Oryctolagus cuniculus: one gene and its partner. The protein of the gene in region 2 purifies or fractionates together with the protein of the main gene of each other region. This does not show direct contact. Links are inferred from orthologs where the notes say so. Each region holds a gene or a part of one and is shown on either strand. Other genes may lie near its edges.

Evidence for each region. The genes of interacting proteins can lie anywhere in the genome.
Region 1: the proteins of STRADB (region 2) and CAB39 purify together in Homo sapiens (affinity purification with mass spectrometry; 3 studies listed by BioGRID and IntAct, counting the BioPlex papers as one, with this or other methods). This does not show direct contact. The link is inferred for Oryctolagus cuniculus from reciprocal best matches to the Homo sapiens genes STRADB and CAB39.

The regions. Positions count from the first base shown.
Region 1 is NC_091434.1:8,330,650-8,336,839, reverse strand, and holds part of CAB39 (calcium-binding protein 39), read left to right. Parts: intron 1-1,344; coding exon 1,345-1,410; intron 1,411-3,401; coding exon 3,402-3,545; intron 3,546-5,315; coding exon 5,316-5,504; 3' UTR 5,505-6,190. UniProt on the Homo sapiens protein: Component of a complex that binds and activates STK11/LKB1. In the complex, required to stabilize the interaction between CAB39/MO25 (CAB39/MO25alpha or CAB39L/MO25beta) and STK11/LKB1.
Region 2 is NC_091434.1:38,531,675-38,536,808, forward strand, and holds the end of STRADB (STE20-related kinase adapter protein beta), read right to left. Parts: intron 3,486-5,134; coding exon 3,443-3,485; intron 2,952-3,442; coding exon 2,808-2,951; 3' UTR 2,117-2,807; downstream 1-2,116. UniProt on the Homo sapiens protein: Pseudokinase which, in complex with CAB39/MO25 (CAB39/MO25alpha or CAB39L/MO25beta), binds to and activates STK11/LKB1.

The DNA of each region.
Region 1 (6,190 bases), about 30 Mb from region 2:
TGGCACTGCAGTGGCACAGTGCTCCACGGAAGTGCCATTCTCTGAGCGACATCTAGGAGGGCCGCAGACGTGGGTGCGGGCGTGGCCGGGTGTATTCCCCAGCATCTGCCCGTGCCCGCCCCGAGGGGCAGTCGCATTCTTGAGGAAGGCACGGACTGAGTGTTGAGTGTGCCCCCACGGAGCTCCATAGGATAGCATCCCTGGCGACCAAGGGGCAGCAGAAAACCTGCGTTTTCCGTCAGGAACTTGAAATAGGTGTATTTTGTGTTGCCCGTTGAAGGCAGAGCCGATTATTTGGAGCATCAGTTTGATGACCATTTGAGAAGCTCCAGCTTGCTAGCACGTTGGGCAGCCTCCTGTCCTCCACGTGGAAGTGGTATACAGCAGCTCTGGGCGAAAGATATAAGCAAATCCATTTACAACAAACAAAGAGCTGTGGGCCAGTGAGGACCGTTTATAAAAACAGCAGGGCGAGGTCTGGCACACGGACCCCAGCTTGTCACTCCCTGCTGTGTATCACAGATGGATGGCAGATGAGGACCCGTCCTGACACATCAGCACAGATACTTTTCACGGGGACAGGTGACAAAGCAGCGTCCCCCAGGACCTGCCACCTGCACGAAAAGTCACAGCTCTGCAATCTTGGAACATCTCCAACTCATCCTCGCCCAGACACACATGTATACACACACATGTATACACACACACACTGACACATGCCAACACACATGTATACACACACTGACACACGTCCACACACATGCATATACACTGACACATGCCAACACACATGTATACAGACACACACACACACACATTGAGGGGGAAGCTTCATGAAGGTCATGGAAATGCACATTATCTTGTGTGTGTGTGTGTGTATGTGTGTGTGAGTGAGTGAGTGTGTGAGGCAGGGAGAAGGCTCCCATCTGCTGATTCACCTTCCCAATGCCCTCAGTGATGCTCTCCAGACTCAGATTGAGTTTGGGGTTCCTGGCTGTGGCCTGGCCCAACCCCAGCTGTTGCAGGCATTTGGGGAATGAGCTAGCAAATCGATGATCTCTGTGTGCCTCTGCCTTTTAAATAAATTTAAAAAGAAAAAGAGCTGATGTGAAGTCTGGGGTGACAACACTGGATCTGCACTAGGACCTAGCTGGTGCCAAGAGAAGATGGTCCAAGGGCCCTTTCCACAGGTGACCATCGGGCATCACCTGGGGCTCCCTGAGCGTGAGAGGACAGGGGAGCTGGGGCAGCCGCTGGCCTATATGGTGTTAAATGTTTGTATTTGAATTTTATAATGTTAGCTGCCAGTCTTTAATAACACTGATAAATGTTTTCTTGTCTTAGTTTTTCAGTGAATATGAGAAATTACTCCATTCAGAAAATTATGTGACAAAGAGACAGTCACTCAAGGTACGAGAGATTATTTTGTGCAGTTTATTTCTCTTCACACATGTTTGGCATTTGGCCTTGTGGAAAGGGAATGGGCTGGCATGGGCTGGAACACACGTGTCTCTGGCCAGGGTCTCCACAGAAAGCAGTGGGCTCAGCAGCACTGCATGTGCCCAGCCCCTTGTATGCAGAGACCCCACAGGCAGTGGGCATAGACTTGAGGCTGGGATTCACATGAACTAAATAAGCATTCAGCGCGGCTGTGGCTCGTGGACAGCTCTGGCTGCTGCGTGTCAAATCCGAGATGGACAGGTCCTTCAGGAACTTAAAAATGTCACAATTAGGATGTAAACTCTAGAACAGATTGACAAACAACAGGCCGTGGCCCAAGTGCAGCCAGTGCCCATGTTTGTAAATAAAGTCATGCAGGAACGCAGACATAGCCGTTGATTTCTCTGTTGTCCACGGCTGCTCCAGGTGTGACAGCATATTTGAATGGCTTGCGAAGGCTAAAGTATTTACTCACCGGCCCTTTACAGTTTGCTGACCCCTGCTCCAGAAAATTCTTAGGCTAGTTAATGAAAGCCTGCGCCCCATTCTGTCAGTGCGTGGGCCCAACAGGAACTGCCATGGGAATCATGAAGGGTTCACGGGGGCGCATGCTTGTGTGTGCCACCGGCCAGGTTCGTCATACCTTCTGCTCTGCTCAGATCTTCCCCTCCGAGGTCTGGAGTTCATGTCGATGAGGGCCCTATGCCTGCCTTCCCCATCCCACCCTGAGGAGAAGGCCCCCGAGGACTGTCTTCCCTGGAAAGACAGTGAAGGGCATCAGGAGCCTTCGACAGCAATGCTGTCTGCTGACCCTGCGGTCGCTGCGCAAGTCGCCCGCTCAGCGCCTGCCAGGACTGCTCTCGCCCAGGCCATCTCAGTCAGTGCTGAGGGTCCTGATCTCAGCCTGGGCCCCAGCCCCAGGGCTTCCGACTTGACCATGACTCTGATGGTGCGTGAGGACCCTCCCACCTCAGTGTTCTGCAGAACTCTGGGAGCTGCTGGAGGCACTTCCTCCCTGCACATCCATGCGACAGGAGGACACCTCAGTGTCCTTGCTCCTCTGACTCGGCCCCAAAGGGCCAGGGCATAGTGCTCTTCCCCAGCGTTCTGAGACAGCAGCCAGACAGGACTGCCAGGACAGCAGCACCTCCTTGTGGTGTGCGAGAGCAGAGGGTGGCCATGTTTCACAAATCGATAAACTGTGACCAAATTGCAGCTCGTTGGTTAAGGAGAAAGGCTTTCAGAATTACCAGCATGAAAAGGAGGTGGCCACTCCACCTGTGCACCCTGGGCGTAGACACAAAGCAGGTCGTCTTTTGTCAGTAGCTGGTTCCCTGCCTGAGACTTTCAGTTCTTCAATTTTGTGTCTAAAGAAATTGAAGAACTACCAGTCCTTCAGGGACCTGGGGCTCAGTGAAGTGAGCCGTTGGCAGGCCTCCTCTGATAACACGATGTCAGGCTGCTTAGCTAGAAGTCAGCCACCTGGGGACTTCAGATGGGTAGAAGGCAGCCAGGAGCAGCGGAGCCACGGCACAGCAGCTGTGCGTGGGCGCTTCTCCCGCAGACCCCCGCCTCTTCCTCTCAGGCCTGCCGTGCCCCTTGTACATGCGCACACTTTGGTCACCCACGGCGCTGTCTTGAGATGCAGGCACCTTTTATCCACTCCCAGTGCACAGATGAGAAACTGAGGCACGGGAAAGTTAAACAACATGCTCAGGGCTACAGCGCTGACAAGGAGTAGGGAGCCAGATCCGAGGCCAGGCCAGCTTTGCCCAGGGCCCCCATCCCCAGGCGCCGCACAACGCCTGCTCCTCCCACCGGCCTCGCAGCCTGTGGCTCTCACAGCCACTGCAGTTCGCCAGTCCTCCGAGTCCCTGCTCATATATGCTTACTAAAGGTGTTACAAGATGTTTGTTTCTTTAAATCCTAATGTAAGGATGATTGTTTAAATGTCTTCGCAGCTTCTCGGTGAACTACTGTTAGATAGACACAACTTCACAATTATGACGAAATACATCAGTAAACCTGAGAACCTCAAGTTAATGATGAACCTTCTGCGAGACAAAAGTCGCAACATCCAGTTTGAGGCCTTTCACGTTTTTAAGGTAGAGTACGAAGACGAAGCCTTCATCCAGAGCTGCTCAGTGCGCTTCAAACAGATTGCGGGGTGTTGCCCTCACTCTGGTCGTCTGAGTGATGGAGTTCCGTGTCGTCAGTGTTCATGTTCGTGTGGTGTATGTAACATTTAAGCAGAAAGATCTAGAAATGTGGGATACTGAATTTGAGTGCAAGAAAGTTTATCTTCCACATTAGAGGATTGCTTATCACAAAGTGAACCATTTCTTCTTTTTTAATTTTTTTAAGTTTTTATTTACTTGAAAGGCATAGTTAAAAGGGGAGGGGGAAAGAGAGACAGAGATTCCATCCACTGATTCATTCCCTAAGTGGCTGCAGCATGCGGGGCTGGGCCAAGCCAAAGCCAGGAGCCAGGAGCTGCATCCAGGTCTCCTACCTGGGTGGCAGGGCCTTGCCGTTGCTCTCCCAGCTACATTAACAGGAAGCCGGATTAGAAGTGGGACAGCCAGGACTCGGACCAGCAGCCACATGGACCTGCACTGTGGGCAGCAGCTTAACCCACCGTGTCACAATGCTGGCCCCAAAGCAAAACCACTTCTTAGTGGTTTTGTAGACGCTAGTTTTCTTCCTTCCTTCTCCCCTTCCGTAAGATAGAGAAGGTTCCTGTTGCTGGCTCACCCCCCAGATGCCTGCGACAGCAGGGCTAGGCCAGGACCCCAAGCCAGGACTTCCAGGTAGGCGGCAGGAACCCATTACTCGAGCCATCATTGGTCTGCATTAGCAGAAAAGCTGGAGTCAGCCAGAGCCAGGAGTTAGATGCAGGCACCTTAACAACTTGGCCAAATGCCTGCGCCCTGGGGTTTTTATCCCCTCCCCTACCCCTCTGTTGTTTTTTTTTTTTTTTCTTTGAAGCTTTTTATTTATTTGAAAGGCAGAGGGACATACAGATCTCCCATCCACTGGTTCATTCCCCATATGACCGCAGCAGCCAGGGTTGGGCCCAGCCCCACTAAAGCCAAGTCAGGAATTCAGTCCTGGTCTCCACCATGGGTCACAAGAGGCCAACTCCCTAAGCCGTTCCCTGCTGCCTCCTGGGGTGCACTTCAGCAGGAAGCTGGAATCGAGAGCAGAGCCAGCACTCATCCCCAAGCACTGTGAGATGGGATGCCAGTACACCGGCCGGCGTCTTAACCACTGCACCCCACACACGTCCACCCCTTGGATCTTGGTCTTAAAATCTGGGGTCTGTACTGTGGCACAGGGGGTTAAGCCCCTGTCTGCAATGCTAGCATCCTGTATTGGAGCACCAGTTCAGGTCCCAGCTGTTCCACTTCCCATCCAGCTGCCTGCTAAGGCACCTGGGAAAACAGCAGGGGATAGCCTGAGTACTTGGCCCCTGCCACTCACACGGAGACCTGGATGGAAGTCTGGGCTCCTGGCTTCATTCTGCCCTGCCCCAGCCATTGAGGCCATCTGGGGAGTGAACCAGCAGGTGGAAGATCAAGCCCTCTCTCGCTCAGCCTTTCAAGTAAAAGAAAAGAAGCATCCAGTTAGCCCTCCCGTGCCCAGGAATTATTTCTGCTCATTTTATTCTGCAGTGCACATCTGTAGTCAGCACCAACCACTGTTTCAGGCTAGCGGGATGAGCTAGTCCACTCTTCCTGTGCTAAAACATTGAACGTTTTTTCTCCAAGTTGTAAAATCAGAGCTTCTGAAGCAAAGTCTAATTCCCTGATGTCCCGCCTGCCCCGGGAGGGCACCGCTCTGTGCTGTGAGTGACGCGGCCTCTCCCTGTGCAGGTGTTTGTCGCCAACCCGAACAAGACGCAGCCCATCCTGGACATCCTGCTCAAGAACCAGACCAAGCTCATCGAGTTCCTCAGCAGGTTCCAGAACGACAGGACGGAGGACGAGCAGTTCAACGACGAGAAGACCTACTTGGTCAAACAGATCAGGGATCTGAAGAGACCGGCCCAGCAAGAAGCCTGATTTCCAGTAACCCTCAATGTTAAATGCAAGTTCAGCACCTGCTGTTAGCTGTTCAGCGTCAGGCACTCTTCCCGATCCATGAGGAACATTACTGCTAATCTGCTGTTAAGTGAACGGTTTTCGTTTGACCTTTCTGTTCTTAGTCCAGGTTGGAGCGCGTAGCTGCTGCTGCTTGCACACTAGAGCACACGTGGGCTTTTCCTTGATCTTTGTGTCATTTCAGAGCTCAAAGACTCCACTGCTGTGGGAGTGCTGGACACAGCTGGCTTCCTGGAGGCCAGCACGCAGCCGAGGGTGGCTAGGGGGGCGGGCGCCGACCCCGTCCACCTAGACCTGTGTGTAGGCATTGCCCTGTGGAAGACAGCGTGCGGCATGGCGCGCGCACCTGACCCTCACGGCAGCTCCTGGGCCTTCGCCGAAGGAAGTCAGGGGAGCCCTGTCCCAGGCGGGAGGCTCTGGGGAGGATGAAGGTGGTGTGCGAATAAATTGATACACTTAGCAACTTCTCACAGTGTGAAGCTTCCTGGGGTCACGAGGGAAGTGTACATATGCTTTTCACGGCTTTCTAGGGTTTCTGACATTGGTTTTCTTGAGACTTGTAAACCTGGATATGTTGAGGGTATTTGTTGATTTTACTTTTTGCAGGTATTTTAAAACAGTAGAGCTAGCAACAACACCTTGCATTT
Region 2 (5,134 bases):
TGGCAAAGGAAGACCTTTCTCTCTGTCTCTCTCTCTCTCTCACTGTCCACTCTGCCTGTCCAAAAAAAAAAAAAAAAAAAAGCAATTGTCTCCTACAGTCCGGCCTCCAGAAGGAACGTAGCCCTGCCACCCATTTAAAATCCAGAACTGTAAGGATACGCTTGCATTGGTTTAAGCCATTGTTCGCTGTAATTTGTCACATTAGGAGGCTAATACCACCTGCAAAAGATTTTTGTTTTTTTGATGGGGGCAAAGGGCAAGCCTAAGAGAACAAATGGGGAGAGATTTGGAGAGGCTGGGAGAGCTGCCAACCATGCTGTGGGTCTGAGCACTGTGGGAAGGAAGGTGGATTAGGAACTATTGTCACTCTCATTTCATCAGGGTCCATGGGGAGAATGCCAGTGAAAGCCATTCGTCCCGAGAGCTGCTGTCTCCCAGGAACAAGCTTGACTTGCCATCCCTTCTGCCAGGGCTAGGGAGGACAGAGGCAGGGATGGTAGGCAGAACAATGCCCCCCAAAGATGCCTACATCCTAATTCCCAGAACCTGCTGGTATGCTCAGTTACATAGCTAAGGGGAATTAAGGCTGTTAAATGACTGCAGACAAGGAGGGTATCCTGGAGTATTTGGCTATGCCCAATAGGATCAAAAAGGGCTCATAAAAAGTAAAGAGGGAACAGGAAGATAGAACCAGGGAGATGGCAATATGAGGACACAGCCCAACAGTGCTGGACTGGAGCACCATGGGCTGAGGAGGTGCATAGCCTTGGAATCCTGGGAAGGGCAGGGCCATGGATTGTCCTCAGAGCCCCCAGAGGAACGCAGCCCTGCCAGCACCTTGATCTTACCCTTGTGAGACCCATTTCAGACTTCCGGACTACAGAACCATGAACCGACAATTTGGTGTTGCGTTCAGCCACTGAAGTTTGTGGCAGTGTTACACCAGCCGTGCAAAGCTAATACAGCAGGGGAGGCGCTATGGCACAAAGTCTAAGGCAGCGCTCACAGGCTCAGGCTCGCAGTCCGTCACAGTGCCCACTGGCACGGGTGATTTTATGCATCCACTCTGCTGGGCTTCAGGGCACTCAGCTATTCGGTTGACCACTGTTCTGGGTGTTTCTGTGTGAAGGAGCTTCTGCAAAACTTTCAAGGGGTGGACGGAGTAAAGCAGATTGCCTCCTAGTGTGGGGAGAGTCCATCCACTCAGTCGAAGACTTGACCAGAACAAAAAGGCTCACCCGCCCTCAAGTCAGAATTTCCCCTCCTGACTCGGTTTGAACTTTTCCCTGCCTTTGGACACAAATTAACAAATCAACTCTTAGATCTTGGGCCTGATGCCCTTTGGACTCTAACCGCACCAGCAGCCCTCCTGGGTCTCCCCCAGACCTTAGGACCAGCTGCTTACAGGAAATGTTTGTGCACACATTGGACTTAATAAAGCCCCAGCCAGAGATGTGAGAGGCCCTGTTTCATGGCTTCCGAGGTGGGCTCGTCTTGCGGAGGGGAAATCGTGCTGCAAGGCGGAGCTTCGTTCCAGGCTTGACCACTGCAGCTGCTCCGAGGGCCTCAACCGGTCCCCTCCCCTTCTCCGTCACTATCCATTCCAAATTCACCTTCGCCTTTCACCCTGGCAGGTCTTCGTGGCTGCCCTGGCAGAGTAACCCAAACCTTCATTCTTGAGGAGGTCCAGCCCATGAACATGAAAAGGACTGTGCCTTCAATTGCCCATTAACTTGTAGACTGCCCTTTTGGTTTAAAGACACCATTTTAAAATAACCTTTACTATAATGTGAGAAAGACCGTACAGTTAAGAAAGTCAGTTGACATAGGTTCCAGTGTAGCACAGTTCACCCACATGCCCTTTTTGAGACACGGCCTCTCTCTTTGGCTAACAAGGAAATATCATGAAGACCCGCACCCTCTGTGTTGTAACCCCCCAAGAGCAATGATCATATAAAGGATCAGAACAGGCAGGCCTTCACTGGATCAAGTCCCCAGTAGTCCTCAGCTAACAAGTTAGAAGTCTGCTGGAGGAAGGGCTTCCTGGCAAAACAAACAGAGAACCTGTGTTTGATCTTTGCCAGATCACATTAGGAAAATAAATAGAAGCACAAACTCAAGTCAACAATCTTTATTGAGCTCCCACAGGGTGCATGAATTTAGGATCTAAAATTTACAAGGTAGAAAAGGGTTACCTTATGTAGCCACCTTCTTTATTTAAAAAAAGCAAATTATGACTTCTGTATATAGTTCAAGTGAATCATTTATTTTGAGTGAGGCTCAGTTTGATGTCATATAAGTATTAATAGAAAAAAGGGAAACTATAAACATTTCCCTGTCTACCAAAGAGGCATTTGGTACCAGGATAAACTAGCCTGTTGGTTAACAATAGCTGGTTCAAAAGGCTAGAGAACCTGAAAGAAAGATCAGATGTACTTGGAAGTCCTGTCCTAGGAGGGCTCAATCCCAAGAGAAGAGCAAAATGCCAAAAAACTCAACTGGCTCAAAAACGAGAGAGAGATGAAAAGATGAGTTAGTCACAGCTTGGGGAGAAAATGTAAGAATCGATGACACTGACTGTAGCTAGATTGATCATCCAGATGTTTCCCTGGGGTGGTGAGAGCAGTCTGAGCTAGGCCAGGGAACTCCACACTCACGCCCCTGTGAACAGAGTGGTTTGAAATGAGATTCTCCAGTGCACCAACTGTGTTTTCAAGTATAATTCTGGCATTTGTACCTAGCAATGCAGAATAAAAGCAGCAAGAAGAGGGTGTCAAGTATATCGGACGTGAAGTGATTTGGCAGCCCTAGAACTCCCAGTCCGAGTCTTTTTCATCAGGGAAAGCACACTCTGGCTCAGTCCAAGGTGACACTGGAGGCGGTGCTGCTGACGGCTTGGCAGAGGCAGGAGGCAGCAGTGACAGGATGGAGTCCTGGCTTTCTTCTTTCATCTGTTAAAGAAATTCAAAATAAGGCTCTTGGTACAAATTTAATACATCAGTTTCGTTAGCAATAAGTAACTTCTAAAGAAATTATGTTTAAAGTATTTATATAGTTTTTAAGCATTTTTCCTAAAAATGCCTTTGATTCTGGTTACCTGAAAACAGGAAGAGAAGCCAAATAAATGGATTTTTATCAGATATAGTTTGCCCTTCGTCATGTGTAGCCAATATAGAAGGAGTCACTAATCAAAACCAAGGCTGAGCATGTAGTGGCAGGGATTATGGTCCGGTTTGTTTCACTCAATTTTGTTTTACAGGACGGCTATCTTTCAAAAAGTCTGTAATTAAACTACCAAAAACTTTTCTGCTTTTTAACATTATTTTTGTAAGTTAATAGCATGATTCTTGGTAACCAAAGTATCCCATTAAACCAACAACATGGAATGGATTTTTTAATAGTATTTGAAAACACCTAGACAACAGAGGACAGATCAGCTCACCTGTTTGAAGAATACGTGAGACAATAAACTGCTTGCTGATGGCCTGAAATTTAGAAGAAAAAAAAATTACAAAAACTAGACCCTCAAATTGGAATGTATAATAGTAGAAGTTAAGTTAGGAACTATAAAGTCCAACACTAAAATACTGAAAAAGAAATTATGTCAGAAGCTCAAATCTTGGCTCCAACTTTGACAAATGGAAAGAATTAGTTCTAGAGGTGTCCTTCAGTTAATCCATACTGAATATTTATTGAACACATACTATTTATAAGAAATTATGCCTGGCACTTTGGGGTTAAAAATGGTAATTAAGATACACCTTGGGGCCGGTGCTCTGGCATAGTGAGTAAGGCCGCTGCCTGCAGTGTTGGCATCCCATATGGGCACTGGTTCAAGTCCTGGCTGTTCCACTTCCAATCCTGATCTCTGCTATGGCCTGGGAAAGCAGTAGAAGACGGCCCAAGTCCTTGGGATCCTGCACCCACGTAGGAGACCTGGAGGAGGCTCCTGGCTCCTGGCTTTGGATCGGTGCAGCTCTGGCCGTTGTGGCCAATTGGGGAGTGAACCAGTGGATGCAAGACTCTCTCTCTCTGCCTTTCCTTCTCTCTGTGTAACTCTGACTTTCAAATAAATAAATAAATCTTAAAAAAGACACACACCTTGTTTCCAAAATACTAATGCTAATATATAGTTATCTATGGTAATAATTTATATTAGTATGGAAGCAGCTACTTACATTTTATACTGCTAATACATTTCTAAAATGGATTAATGCAAGTACAATAATTAATATTCAGAAAGACTAGCTGATTTTTACAAGGTGAGACTAGGCTAGGAAATGGTAAGGCTGAAACTGGTGACCAACTCTTCTGATTTTTTTTTTTTAAAGATTTATTTACTTATTATTTGAAAGGCAGAGAGTTACAGAGAGGCAGAGGCAGAGGCAGAGAGAGAGAGAGAGGAAGGTCTTCCCAACCACTGAATTACTCCCCAAATAGCCACAACGGCTGGAGCTGAGCCAACCCGAAGCTGGGAGCCTGGAGCTTCCTCCAGGTCTCCCACATGGGTGTAGGGGCCCAAGCACTTGGGCCATCTTCTGCTGCTTTCCCAGGCCATAGCAGAGAGCTGGATCAGAAGTGGAGCAGCCAGGACTCGAACCAGCACCCATATGGGATACCGGCACTGCAGGCGGCGGCCTTACCCTCTATGTCACAATGCCAGCCCCAACTCTTCTGATTTTCAATCCAGTGTTCTTTCATTTGCTTACTACCTCTACTTGTTCCTTTTATTTTTTTAAAAAAGATTTATTTTATTGAAAGTCAGAGTTACAGAGAGAGAGAGAGAGATCTTCAATTTGCTTGTTCACTCCCCAGATGGCCACACAGCCAGCAATAGGCCAGGCTGCAGCCAGGAACCAGTAGTTGCATCCAGGTTTCCCATGGGGGTGCAGGGACCCAGGAACTTGAGGATCGGAAGTGGAGCAGCCAGGACACGACCTGGCACCCATTTGGGAAGCTGGCGTTGCAGGCAGTGGCTTTACTGTGCCACAGCACTAGCCCCCTCTACTTGTTCTTAGCATCATTATTTTCTGTTTTAGACTTGACTTTTTTGGTCAAAGGATAAAACATTTGCATTTTGTGGGGAGGGAAACACCACAAAGCTCCTGTAAAACATAAAACATGCACAGTTTAT